3 linked regions of the Callithrix jacchus genome follow. The protein of the gene in region 1 interacts with the protein of each later gene in a pairwise test. Links are inferred from orthologs where the notes say so. Each region holds a gene or a part of one and is shown in the gene's direction. Other genes may lie near its edges. The genes, in order: HDAC6, ERBB3 and ERBB4.

What was found.
Region 2: the proteins of HDAC6 (region 1) and ERBB3 interact in a protein complementation assay, tested with the Homo sapiens proteins (2 studies listed by BioGRID and IntAct, with this or other methods). The link is inferred for Callithrix jacchus from reciprocal best matches to the Homo sapiens genes HDAC6 and ERBB3.
Region 3: the proteins of HDAC6 (region 1) and ERBB4 interact in a protein complementation assay, tested with the Homo sapiens proteins (2 studies listed by BioGRID and IntAct, with this or other methods). The link is inferred for Callithrix jacchus from reciprocal best matches to the Homo sapiens genes HDAC6 and ERBB4.

What each region holds. Positions count from the first base shown.
Region 1 is NC_133524.1:49,380,653-49,384,847, forward strand, and holds the start of HDAC6 (protein deacetylase HDAC6), read left to right. Parts: upstream 1-1,379; 5' UTR 1,380-1,398; coding exon 1,399-1,494; exon of another isoform or gene 1,495-2,108; intron 2,109-2,189; coding exon 2,190-2,312; intron 2,313-2,396; coding exon 2,397-2,525; intron 2,526-2,660; coding exon 2,661-2,749; intron 2,750-4,195.
Region 2 is NC_133510.1:63,577,607-63,581,131, reverse strand, and holds part of ERBB3 (receptor tyrosine-protein kinase erbB-3), read left to right. Parts: intron 1-1,572; coding exon 1,573-1,646; intron 1,647-1,975; coding exon 1,976-2,066; intron 2,067-2,335; coding exon 2,336-2,541; intron 2,542-2,753; coding exon 2,754-2,886; intron 2,887-3,086; coding exon 3,087-3,177; intron 3,178-3,388; coding exon 3,389-3,525. UniProt on the Homo sapiens protein: Tyrosine-protein kinase that plays an essential role as cell surface receptor for neuregulins.
Region 3 is NC_133507.1:134,244,896-134,249,108, reverse strand, and holds the start of ERBB4 (receptor tyrosine-protein kinase erbB-4), read left to right. Parts: upstream 1-1,399; 5' UTR 1,400-2,012; coding exon 2,013-2,094; intron 2,095-4,213. UniProt on the Homo sapiens protein: Tyrosine-protein kinase that plays an essential role as cell surface receptor for neuregulins and EGF family members and regulates development of the heart, the central nervous system and the mammary gland, gene transcription, cell proliferation, differentiation, migration and apoptosis.

The sequences.
Region 1 (4,195 bases):
CTGACCCCTGCTCCACAGGAACCTCTCTTCTGATCCAACAGAAAAATGGGCCTTGACCCTTTGCAAGACTCCCTACTCTATTATGTTCCAGGTACCACAACTCTAGAATTTGTGTGTGTGTATCATTGTATGTGTTTTCTTTGGTGAGTGTAGGAGTTTAAGTCTTAGGTCTGCAACTCTTTTGCGCTGAGACAAAAGAGGTTCAGGTAGGAGGAATGAAAAGGGAAGAGGCAGCAGGAATTGGCATCTTCAAAAGGATCAGAGGGCACAGCTACTGGGCGGTGAGACCGTCAATCTGTCAGTCTGCGACGCTGAACCCCCGGACTGCGAACTGCTTATCTCTCCGTTTCCAGCTTATAGACCGGTAGGAAATGGTGGAGAATGAGAGAGGGAGATTAGGAGGACAAACCGGCCTCCTGCAGAGCTGACATTTAGACCCAGAGTGGGAGTTGCGGGGAAGGGGGTTCCCAAGGACAGCTCCCCCGACTCCCCGGGCACACAGACACTTTCTATTACTCCTTGGGAGCAGAGGTTACCCGTCGGAGGGGGCAGATAGGGAGAGCTGCTGCCCATGAGTAACTCCCCTCTTCGAGTCCATTCTGGCCCTGGGTACTATTATTATCACAACTTTCCAGATAAGGACACGGAGCACAGAGCTGTTCAGTAACTTGCCCAAGGTCACATGGTTAAGTCCCGTAACCTCAGTTTCCTTATCTGCAAAGCAGCCTTAATAATGGGAACTACCTCATAGAATTGTGGTTTACAACGATGCCTGTCACACACTTGCTATCATTACCATTCCCTGCCCCCACTAAGACTCCTTTCACCCAGAATATTGCGGCAAAATATTAATAGCTAACATTCGGCTAGTGCTTCCTGTGTACCACCGTACTGAATACTAACTCGAAAAATCCTCACAACATTTAGCATCGTCACCACGCCTATTTTGGCCGCCACCAGCCAACGTCCAGTGGCAACCCCGCTCTCGGCCCATCCACAACTAGCCCGCCCGCGCTACGTCATCACGGCGCGTCGCGCAGGAAGTCCCGAGGAAGAGGGAAGAAGCCCTTCCTAATTCCCACGCTTCCTTGCTTGCTCTCGCGACACCGCTGGCCTGGAGGGCTCCTAAGTGACTGGACGGGGACAGAGGGGCGGCGGCTATGGCATACAGGATGACAGCGATGGTAATCGAGGGAGTGGAGAGCTTGCGCCGCAGCCCGGTCGCGAATCAACGGCGCGCGCCTTTTACGTAGGCACAGTACAGTGACGTAGCACGCCGACGCACCATCCCGCCTTCTGTGAGATCGCGAGAGGTGTGGCTCGCGCGAGGGGCGCGGCCTTGAGGCACGTTCCCTTCCGAAGGCGGGATCTGGGCGGGCAGTCGAGAGACCAGGCCCAATGGAAAAGAAAGGCCCGGACACTCGCGTCCCCACGGGTCGCCAGGAACTTGGCGGAGCGAGCCAAGGGCGGAGTTTGAGAAAGGGGTTGCGCCCGGTGAGTGGAGCGGCGAGGACTGGCCGCGTCGACAGCGGAGGCGGGAAGGGGGTGGAGGCCGACTGAAGGCGCTCAGGACTGGCTGAAGGGGCTTAGCGAAACGTTAGCGGTCCGGTCCGGGCAGGGGGTGGAGCTGGTGAAGGAACGGGGCAGTCCCCTAAGGAGCGGGGCTGGTTGAAACGCTAGGGGCGGGATCTGGCAGAGTGGAAGGTACCGGTCCGGCCCGATAAGGGGTGGAGTTAAGTGAATCGTTAAGGGTGGAGTTGAGGCCGGGGCCGGGGCCGGGGCGGGCTGAGTGAAAGGGTGGGTGATTATCCTGGGAGATAGGCCGAAAGGGCAGGTACGTGAAGGAATGGGGTCCGGGCCGGGCTTAGAGGGTCTGGGAAGGGCTTGGGAGAGTGGAAGGGGTGGTGATTGGTTGGAAAGGGTGGGCCCTAAAAGGGATTGAGTGAGCCAGGGGGCTCATTGCTCAGTGAAAGGGCAAGACCGGAGAAAGAATCATGTAAAGGGGTGGAGTCTAGCGGACCGGGCGGGTCCAGGTAGCATGGCCACCTGAGTGGAGGGAGAAGGCCTGAGAGAGGCGGAGTTTGGAAGGCTGTGGAGAAAAAGATCGCGTAAGGAATGGAATCTAATAGAGGGGGCGGAGTCCTCTGGGCACACTTGCCCCTTCACACACCCACGCCTCCCCCCCCCAGAACCGAGACAGGGGCAAAGCCTCCTCAGCTATGACCTCAACCGGCCAGGATTCCACCACAACCAGGCAGCGAAGAAGTAGGCAGAACCCCCAGTCGTCTCCTCAGGACTCCAGTGTCACATCGGTGAGGCCCTAGACCCGCCCTGAGGAGGGGAGAGGGAGCAAGCTGGCCATGCCCTGGACTCTGACCCTTCTCTCTGATTCGCAGAAGCGAAACATTAAAAAGGGAGCCGTTCCCCGCTCCATCCCCAATCTAGCGGAGGTAAAGAAGAAAGGCAAAATGAAGAAGCTCGGCCAAGCAATCGAAGAAGACCTAATCGTGGGACTGCAGGGGATGGTGAGCAGGGCCTGGCTGCAATTTAGCCTCGTATGACAATCAAAACCCAAAGGTTCCCCACCGTGGACAGTTTAGGATGTTCCTTCTGACTCAAGGCCTAAAATGGATCTGTGTCTCCTTTTTTTTCCTCTGCAGGATCTGAACCTTGAGGCTGAAGCACTGGCTGGCACTGGCTTGGTGTTGGATGAGCAGCTAAACGAATTCCATTGCCTCTGGGATGACAGGTGAGGCTGGATCTTCCAGGCTGTCTCCAAATCACAAAAATACATACACTTAGAGCCCATTAGCAAGAACAAATCCTTTCTTACCCCAGCCTGGATACTGGAAGCAGGTGATTTGGGGAGGTAGGGCTCACACTTGAAAGGGTTTTTCTATGTAGCAAACAAACATTTATTGAGTGCCTACTGTGTGCCAAGAGTTAGTGATACAAATGTACCAAACAACAGACAGGGTCCCTTCTCTGGGAACTGATTGGGTGAGTAGGAGGGCAGAGTCTTAAACAGTCAACAGCAGTATGAGGTATTTAATGAAGACAAATTTAAGACCAGAGGGATTCAAGGGTGTGTAATAGAGGATCCTAGACTAGTATCCGGGCTTCCCAGGAGCCTTTCTAGAGGAAAAGACCTCCCATTTGCTTTACTTTTCAAAAAGAATCATCAAATCTTTTTGGCTATATGTTAAATTATATTCACCATTTGACCTCAACTCACCACCTCCACTGCCACGATCATCATCACTCACCTAGACTTCCAGAAGCCTCCTCCCTGGTCCCCTGCTTCCAGCCTTGCCTTATTGTCTGTTCACAAAGCAACGTAAAAAAAATATGTGTGAAATGATGTTGTCTTTGTTTAAATACTTTAAGGAGGCCGGGTGTGGTGGCTCACACCTGTAATCCCACCACTTTGGGAGGCCAAGGCAGATGGATTGCCTGCGTTGTCAGGAGTTTAATACCAGTCTGACCAACATGGTGAAATGTCGTCTCTACTAAAAATACAAAAATTAGCTGTGTGTAGTGGCACACACCTGTAGTCCCAGCTACTAGGGAGGGTGAGGCAGGAGATTCGCTTGAACCCAGGAGGCGGAGGTTGCATGAGCAGAAATCACGCTATTGCACTCCAGCCTGGGGCAACAAGAGCAAAACTCTGTCTCAAAAAAAAACTTTAAGGGCAAACTGTTACCCTCAAGGTAAAGTCCATATTCTTCATCCTGGCCTCAAAGGTTCCACATGATCTGGCTCCACCTCACTTTGTGACTTCATCAGCCAATCCTCCTCACCGACACTTGTCCCCTTATTCTTCCAATATGCCAGGCACCCTCTTGTCTCTAGTCTGTACCCTGGCCAACCCCTTTCCCAGAGACTCCTTTCTATCTTCTTCTCTTCCAGTTACCTTTCACATCCCAATGAGACTTTCTCAAAGAGGATTTTGCCTGGCCAAACCCTACCCCAATACCTGATCTTATTTTCCTAGCCCATGGCATTGTGTGCTAATTGTCATACTTGTGTGTTGACCAATTGATATCTATATCCCTTATTCCAACCTAAGACTAACTTATTATGGCAAAAGACTTCTTTTATGGAATACCTATTTAATGTCTATTGAGGAGCAGGGGATACAGCAGTAAACAAAAGAAACAAAAGCCCATGCTTTCAGGGAAAAGGGGCAAGACAG
Region 2 (3,525 bases), on another chromosome or scaffold:
TAACAGTTTCTCAGGTTTTATTTATCTTTCATGATATTCTTAATGAATATAGGTTAGTTAATGGGCAGAATGTTCTTCAGTTAGGATTTGTTTGATGTGTCCTCATGATTAGATTCAAGTTTTTGTAGGTTTTTTTTTTTTTTTTTTTTTTGAGATAAGTAAGATCTGGCTCTATTGCCCAGGCTGGAGTGCAATGGCATGATCTCGGCTCACTGCAACCTCTGCCTCCCGGGCTCAAGTGATCCTCCCACCTCAGCCCCTGGAGTAGCAGGGATCACAAATGCACACCAGCACTCAGGGCTGGTTTTTTTTATGTTTTTTATAGAGACAGGGTTTCACCATGCTGTCCAGGCTGGTCTCGAACTCATGAGCTCAAGCGATCCTCCTGCCTCAGCCTCCCAAAGTGTTGGGATTACAGGCATGCACTGTCTCCAGGCTGGAGTTTGACAGGAACACCACAGAGGCTGTGAGCTCAGGGCATCCTATTGAGGATGCACGTGATGTTGATTTGCCCCAGCACTCACAATAATGTCTCTGGTCACTTAGTTAAGAAAAACCTGTCAGGTTTTTCTACTGTAAAGTTACTGTTTTTTCCATTTGCTATTATTAAACGTCTTGGGATAATTGCCTGAATCAATTATTGTTATGATAGTTGCCAAATGATGATTTTCTAATTCCATTACTTCTTCTGCATGTGTTTGTTGGCATTCTAGTGTTAGGAACAGTCTTTCCAGCGGGCACAGTGGCTCATGTCTGTAATCTCAGCACTTTGGGAGCAAGTGGGAAAATTGCTTGAGCCTAGGAGTTCAAGGTTACAGTGAGCTATGATCACACTACTGCACTCCAGCCTGGGCAACAGAGTGACACCCTGTCTCTTAAAAAAAAAAAAAAAAGTCTTTCTTTCCTATTTATTTACTCTTTTGGATACTTATTTTATTCTAGTCAATGGTTATAATCCTTTACAATCATTTATTTTGGTGTTTAGGTGTCCCTGATCTGGCCTTTGGGAGCCCCTCCAAGCTGGCTCCTGTGTTCTTTGGGCTGTATGCTTAGTTCTTTAAGTCTTTCTTTGTTTGCACAAGATGCTCTAGGCTCATATTACAGTTCCCCTGTCCCAGCCATTTCTCCGAGGAATGTTTCCTTTTAGTAGAGAATAATATTTAGGAACCAAATTCTGAAGGCCGGGCGTGGTGGCTCATGCCTGTGATCCCAGCACTTTGGGAGGCTGAGGTGGGTGGATCACCTGAGGTCGGGAGTTCGAGACCAGCCTGACCAATATGGAGAAACCCCATCTCTACTAAAAATACAAAATTAGCCGAGCGTGGTAGCCCATGCCTGTAATCCCAGCTACTCAGGAGGCTGAGAGAGGAGAATCACTTGAACCCGGGAGGCCGAGGTTGCAGTGAGCTGAGATTGTGCCATTGCGCTCCAGCCTAGGCAACAAGAGTGAAACTCCGTCTCAAAGAAAAGAAAAGAAACCAAATTCTGAGGCTGTGTGTGCTCATTGACACTGGTAATCAAGGTAAAGGTATAACCTTTACCTTGTTGACTGGTTTCTGCTGTTCTTCTCAGAGACCCCTGGCACAAGATACCTGCCCTGGACCCAGAGAAGCTCAATGTCTTCCAGACAGTACAGGAGATCACAGGTGAGTGGCAGAGAGTTTGCCCTCTCTTTTTTTATTTTATTTTATTTATTATGTTTTTTTAGAGACAGGGTTTCACCATGTTGGTCAGGCTGGTCTTGAACTCTTGATCTCAGGTGATCTGCCTGCCTCAGCCTCCCAAAGTGCTGGGATTACAGGTGTGAGCCACCGCGCCCAGCCTTGAGAGTTTGCCCTTTCTAGAATAGGTGAACCACTGGCATAAATTGCGGTGTAACTACTTGAGAAAATCACATCCCAAGTTACAGGGGAGGAGCCAGGAGAACCCAATAAAGCAGGCTCCCTGCCCATATTGCCTCTCTCCAACTCCTCAGGTTACCTGAACATCCAGTCCTGGCCTCCCCACATGCACAACTTCAGTGTTTTTTCCAACTTGACAACCATTGGAGGCAGAAGCCTCTACAAGTGAGTAAAGGGTATGGAGGAAATGGCATCTCCAGGCAATGAAGCCTGTGTCATAGGCATTCTTGAGTAAAATACAAGGCACTGTCTCATACATACAGCAGTGCCTCAAAACCAAAGGGTTTCAGAGTTTGATGAGGAAAGGGCAAAAGGAAGGGGACTCCCTCTCAGTGATCTGACTAAGCACTGAGCACATTTTTGGTTAACATGAATCCACTGCATAGTTGATGTTCCCTTAGTAGTCTCCTCTCATCCTATCTCCTTATTCTCAGCCGGGGCTTCTCATTGTTGATCATGAAGAACTTGAATGTCACATCTCTGGGCTTCCGATCCCTGAAGGAAATCAGTGCTGGGCGTATCTATATAAGTGCCAATCGGCAGCTCTGTTACCACCACTCTTTGAACTGGACCAAACTGCTTCGGGGGCCTTCAGAAGAGCGACTAGACATCAAGCATAATCGGCCCCGCAGAGAATGCGGTGAGGGAAAGGGTCTGCTGGGTGGTGAGAACAGGGAGTCAGGGAGGAGAGGGCTGGAAGGATTCATCTGCCCACACGTGGGAGTAGGGTTGAGGGATGGAATCAAGGAGAAGGGGGATGTTAAGATGGAAGCAGTAACAAGAAAGAGTAATGAGGAGAGGGCCGGCTGGGAGTCCTCAGACTTCTCTCCTAATCTATCCTTTCTTTTCCAGTGGCAGAGGGCAAAGTGTGTGACCCACAGTGCTCCTCTGGGGGATGCTGGGGCCCGGGCCCTGGTCAGTGCTTGTCCTGTCGAAACTACAGCCGAGGAGGTGTCTGTGTAACCCACTGCAACTTTCTGAATGGGTACAGTGATGGGAGCCAGTCAAAGATGGGTGGGGGTGAGACCCTGCAATGGAACTATTCAGGTAGCATATAATAAAAGCCTTTAGAAAGCTTTCTGCATATGCCTTGGTGGGAGTGAGAGAGGAGACCTGTGGTTGTGGTATCAGGGCATGAAGGTCAGGACTTGGAAGTGACCCCCCTCCCTTTATTCCCCGATGCAGGGAGCCCCGAGAGTTTGCCCATGAGTCCGAATGCTTCTCTTGCCACCCGGAATGCCAGCCCATGGAGGGAACTGCCACATGCAATGGCTCGGTATAGTAGCAGCACCAGGATCTCCAAGGGAGACAGAGAAGGGGCAATACTTGGAGCATGTGGGGAATGATATGACTAAGGAGAGCACAGAGAGAACAGATAATGCTAGGGTCTGCAGATAGAAGATTCGGAATGTCTGGGCTGGTCTTTGCTGGGAGGTATGGAATTGACCTTGGATCTGATTCATCCTGACCTTCTCTCTTCCACTCAGGGCTCTGATACTTGTGTTCAATGTGCCCATTTTCGAGATGGGCCCCACTGTGTGAGTAGCTGCCCCCATGGAGTCCTAGGTGCCAAAGGCCCCATCTACAAGTACCCAGATGTTCAGAATGAATGTCGGCCTTGCCA
Region 3 (4,213 bases), on another chromosome or scaffold:
GTTTGGCGTCTTCATGGAGCCTGTTATTTGCTGTAGGTCTAAGAAAGGGAAAGCTTCAGGCTTCAGGCATCTGTACTTCCTATCTGTTCTCAGTTCCATGGAAATTCTTGAGGGATGGGGCTATAGATAAGAGAGTGGGAAACAGAGATCAAGATCTCTAATGAAAAGCAGGGTGGTTTGATTTTTAAGCTCCCCTGATACTTTTTATTTATATATTTGCTGCTTCTAGAAAAACCAAAAACGGAAAGTAATTCATACATAGAATGCCTGTACAAATAGCAAACCAATAACCTACTACCCCCAGGAGATTCTGGCCCTTGCCAGGGTGCAGTTTCATAGCTGTAAAAGGCAAGGGATATGTACATTGAAATGACCCAGTCCCAGAATATTTAGATTCAGAAAAGGTCAGAGATGCTCATAACTAGCAATGGCCTCAGGACTGGGGAGCCTGAATGCAGAGTGTGGACAAGGAAGAGGCCTAAAGCTAGGTCTACTATAGAATAAACAGAATCATTTAAGGTTAATAATGTTCTGATGTGTCCTTAAATTCTCTCAGGCTTGAGACAATTTCTAGCCCTTTAGGATCAAATCAGTGGCTTTGGACAAGAATCTGCTTAATAAGAATGAACTCCAAAGGTGAAAAACCCACAAAATCTAAAAATCAAAGGATAAGGGTTTATAAATGTGAAATTTTAGTTTGGCTCAATGATGGTCAGTTTGGAAATGTGGGAAGAACCAGAGAGATGGCATAACTGGGGCTGGAGCCAGGGTGGTGATTGGTGATTATACACCCACAACTACCTAACCGCAGGGGCTACCAGTTACTTCCTGATCACACTACTTTCTAATTGTGGACCATGAGTGGCAGAGTGCTGCAGGAGGAAGCTTTTTGCTGAAAGCAACATTGAGTTTCCTTTTATTTCTAGAGAAAGTCCTGTCTGTAGAGGAGCATTGGGGGGCAATGGAAAAAACGCTGCCTTCTTGTTTAAAAAAAAAAAAAAAATTTTTTTCCGTAAGCGCCCCTCCGATGGTCTGTTCACTTCGCAGGCCAGCTGTCCCCGGCCTCTGCCAGGGCGGGAAGAGGAGTGCTTCAGTGCGTGGCTTCGGATGAGCCCTTTAAATCCAGCTTCCCCTGCCCCCACCACGCGGCTCCCTCTCCCTGACAGGTGTTTTCCCAACTCCGGAGGCCCTAGGATTTTGGGGAGTGGCTGAGCCAATAAGATTTCCCTTTTGGGGGGGGGGAAGGGCGTGGCTAGTTGGGTCAGAGCATGGGCGGGGTTTGAGCGGCTGAGCAGAGCCTGCCTGGTTGCTTGGAGGGTTGTTTTATTCCCACCGCCCCCCACCTTTTTTTTTTTTTTTTTTTCTGGAGTCTTATTAATTTCTCTGTGGGGCTGCAGCTGGAGACCGCGGAGCGTTGGAAATGACGCTCAGAGCTTTAATTACTGCAGCCGCCGGACAAGTGTGAGGAAAGCTGACAGGAAAAAGAAGAACGGGATCCGGGGAGAAGCGAGAACCTCCCCCCGCCCCGCTCCCCTCCCGATTTGGACTGAAGGTGCACGGAAACTGAAGAAGCAGCCCAACATAGCCCTGCTGTGGGGAGAGGCCGGAAACCTACCGCCTCTTTGCAATCAACTTTTTTTGGAAACCTTTCTCCCCCTCTTCCTTTTTTATTGTTGACCAACCAGTGAGAGAGAGAGAGAGAGAGAAAGTGAGAAGGGAGCGAGCAAGTGAAGGCTCACGCGGGGAAATAGCTGCACAGTCCGGCCCGGAGCGCCACGCGCACACAGGCGCTCACACTCGAACGCACACTCGCCCCCTCCTCGGGCCCCGGCCCTGGACCTGCCGGCGTGGACTCTGTCGCCCGCCCTGGGAGTTGCTACACCGCGCGCGCCGCGCCCGCCCCCCTCGCGCCCCCACGCGCGCCCGGCTGTGGGATCTCCTCCGCGTGCCCGAAAGGGGGATATGCCATTTGGACATGTAACTGTCAGCACGGGATCTGAGACTTCCAAAAAATGAAGCCGGCGACAGGACTTTGGGTCTGGGTGAGCCTTCTCGTGGTGGCAGGGACCGTCCAGCCCAGCGCTTCTCAGTCAGGTGGGTTCCTTCTGGCGCTCCGGTTGCCAAACCTGCCGCCGCCGGAGGGGCTGCCTCGAGTGGCTCCCCTGCCCTCTTCACCCATCCCGGGAGGCGTGCAGGGACCGCTTGACCGGGGGCTCTCGGTCGCCCCTCTTTCCACTCGAAACTTACCCTGTATGTGTGCGCGAGCTTTGTTTACCGCAAAAATCATTCTCAGCCCCTGTCCCTTTTTTTTCTCTCCGTAACCCCCTATGTTTCTCTCCCGAGCATTTTGTGTGGAGCCTAAGCGGGATCCCTTATGGTGGCGCCTGTTGTTCGGGACATGGGAGACGGAAATCCCCAGTCAGAGGAGACTCTCCTGTCCCACTCTGGGCTCTCGAGGGAAGAAGCCGCTCCACCGGGGCCGCGGAAGGGCTGGAGTCCCAGGGCGGTGTTGGCTGGGCCTCTCCCGAACCCAGCCTGAAGGGAGGTGGAGAGTGGCGCTCCGAGAGTCGGGCTGCGCACCTGTGTGTGCTGCCGGCGGCCTCTGCGCCCCAGTCACCCGAGCCTTGTAGGGTCAGACGCGACTAGCGCCCAGCCGGGGCAGCCGAAGTGCAGCGGGCTGGCCCTCTTCGGCCCGGGGACCGGAGCGCCGGGCCTCCTCTGCCAGCTTCCCGGAGCCCTTGCCCCAATGACTTCAGGGGCGCTTGCTGGCCTGCCTGACCTTGAAAAAAGAAAAAGAAAAAAGGGGGAAAAAAAGGGTTGGCACACTCGAGCCAGAAGCCCGGCCTTCCCGTCGGTTGCCGTGTTTGGCTCCGGGAAGAGTTCTTCCTGTAGTTCTACTTGCTGTTGGCCGGAGTCCTTCAAACTTGTCTGTTTACTGCCCCGCGGTGCTGCCCAGCCTGCGGGTCACCGGATCCACCCCAGGCGCGAGCAGCGGCGGCGGCGGTGCTGGGTGCACGGCCACTGCTTGCTAGAGAGCTCGAACCCCAGGTACCTGGGCAGGCAAAGGGCTCATTGACCCCGAGAGACAGCGCGGCGGGGCTGGCGCACCACGGCGTGCAGGACTAATGACAGCACCTGCAGTGCAAGGGAGCTCAAAGTTTCTGACACTTGAGTTTCTTGGGATGAAAGTGGGACAGGAGAGGTCTGAGGAGGACCGCTGTCTGACGCGGCCAAGGGGTGGCTTTTGGAGAGCCAGGGAGATTTCCGAAACCATCCGGGGCTGGTGACTGGAGCGTGGGAGGTAGCTCGAGGTGATAAAGCCCCCGGGAGTGGCGATAGGGAGAGCTTTAGGCCCCTGTAGGGTATCCTGACCTCACCAAGAAAACAGCAAGCTGTAGTTTTCCCGCTCCGCCCCCGCCGCCGCCGCCACCTCCTCCTCCTTTGCCTAGTAAATAACAAGTTACAATCATCGAGCCTTTCAAAATGACCTTCGAATGGCACATGTGCGGCGTTTGTGCTGGCGGTTTGCACCCTCCCAATTACTCCGAAATTCTTCATGCATACCAGGTCCCGCGCTCCAGCCACCTCCGGAATCATACCAACACGGACTTGACATTCCAAGCGGCCTCTTAGATACATCTCTTTTTATCTCCCTCCCCACTTCGAGTCCCTTCATATTTCCCCTCAATGGGTTGATTATGCACATTGACCCATTCAAAGGCAGTGGCGACCGACATGCAGGCTTAACCGAGAGGAATTTCTACGAGGCGACCTACTGGGGACTGTCTGGTTCAGCCTCTGCCATTGGGGGACCCCGCTCCGAGTCCGCAGCAATTTGGTATTAACTGTGCGGCTCCGGGTTGAGCTATGCCGAAAAGCCCTTTTCAGAATTTCAGCAAGGAATGTAATCCAAATTAGTTCTGCAGCTGTCCTCTTCCTCGGCTCAGGCGACACCAGCTAGCGTCTCGCTCCTCTCTTCTCGTTTCCCTGGGCGAATTGTCAGACCCACAAGTGAGCCCATTTAGAGCGCGAGGATTAGCGTGCCATTGTTGTTCCATGTGTGACTCTGTACTTGAAATTCTGGGGGCACAAAGGCGAGTCTCACTTGTTCAAAACACAAAGTGATCCAGATGAAAGGGCCGCACAAAGAAAAGCTCTCGGGTGCATCCCTGGTATAATTGCAACACGCATACTAAGGTGATCCAGTGGAAAC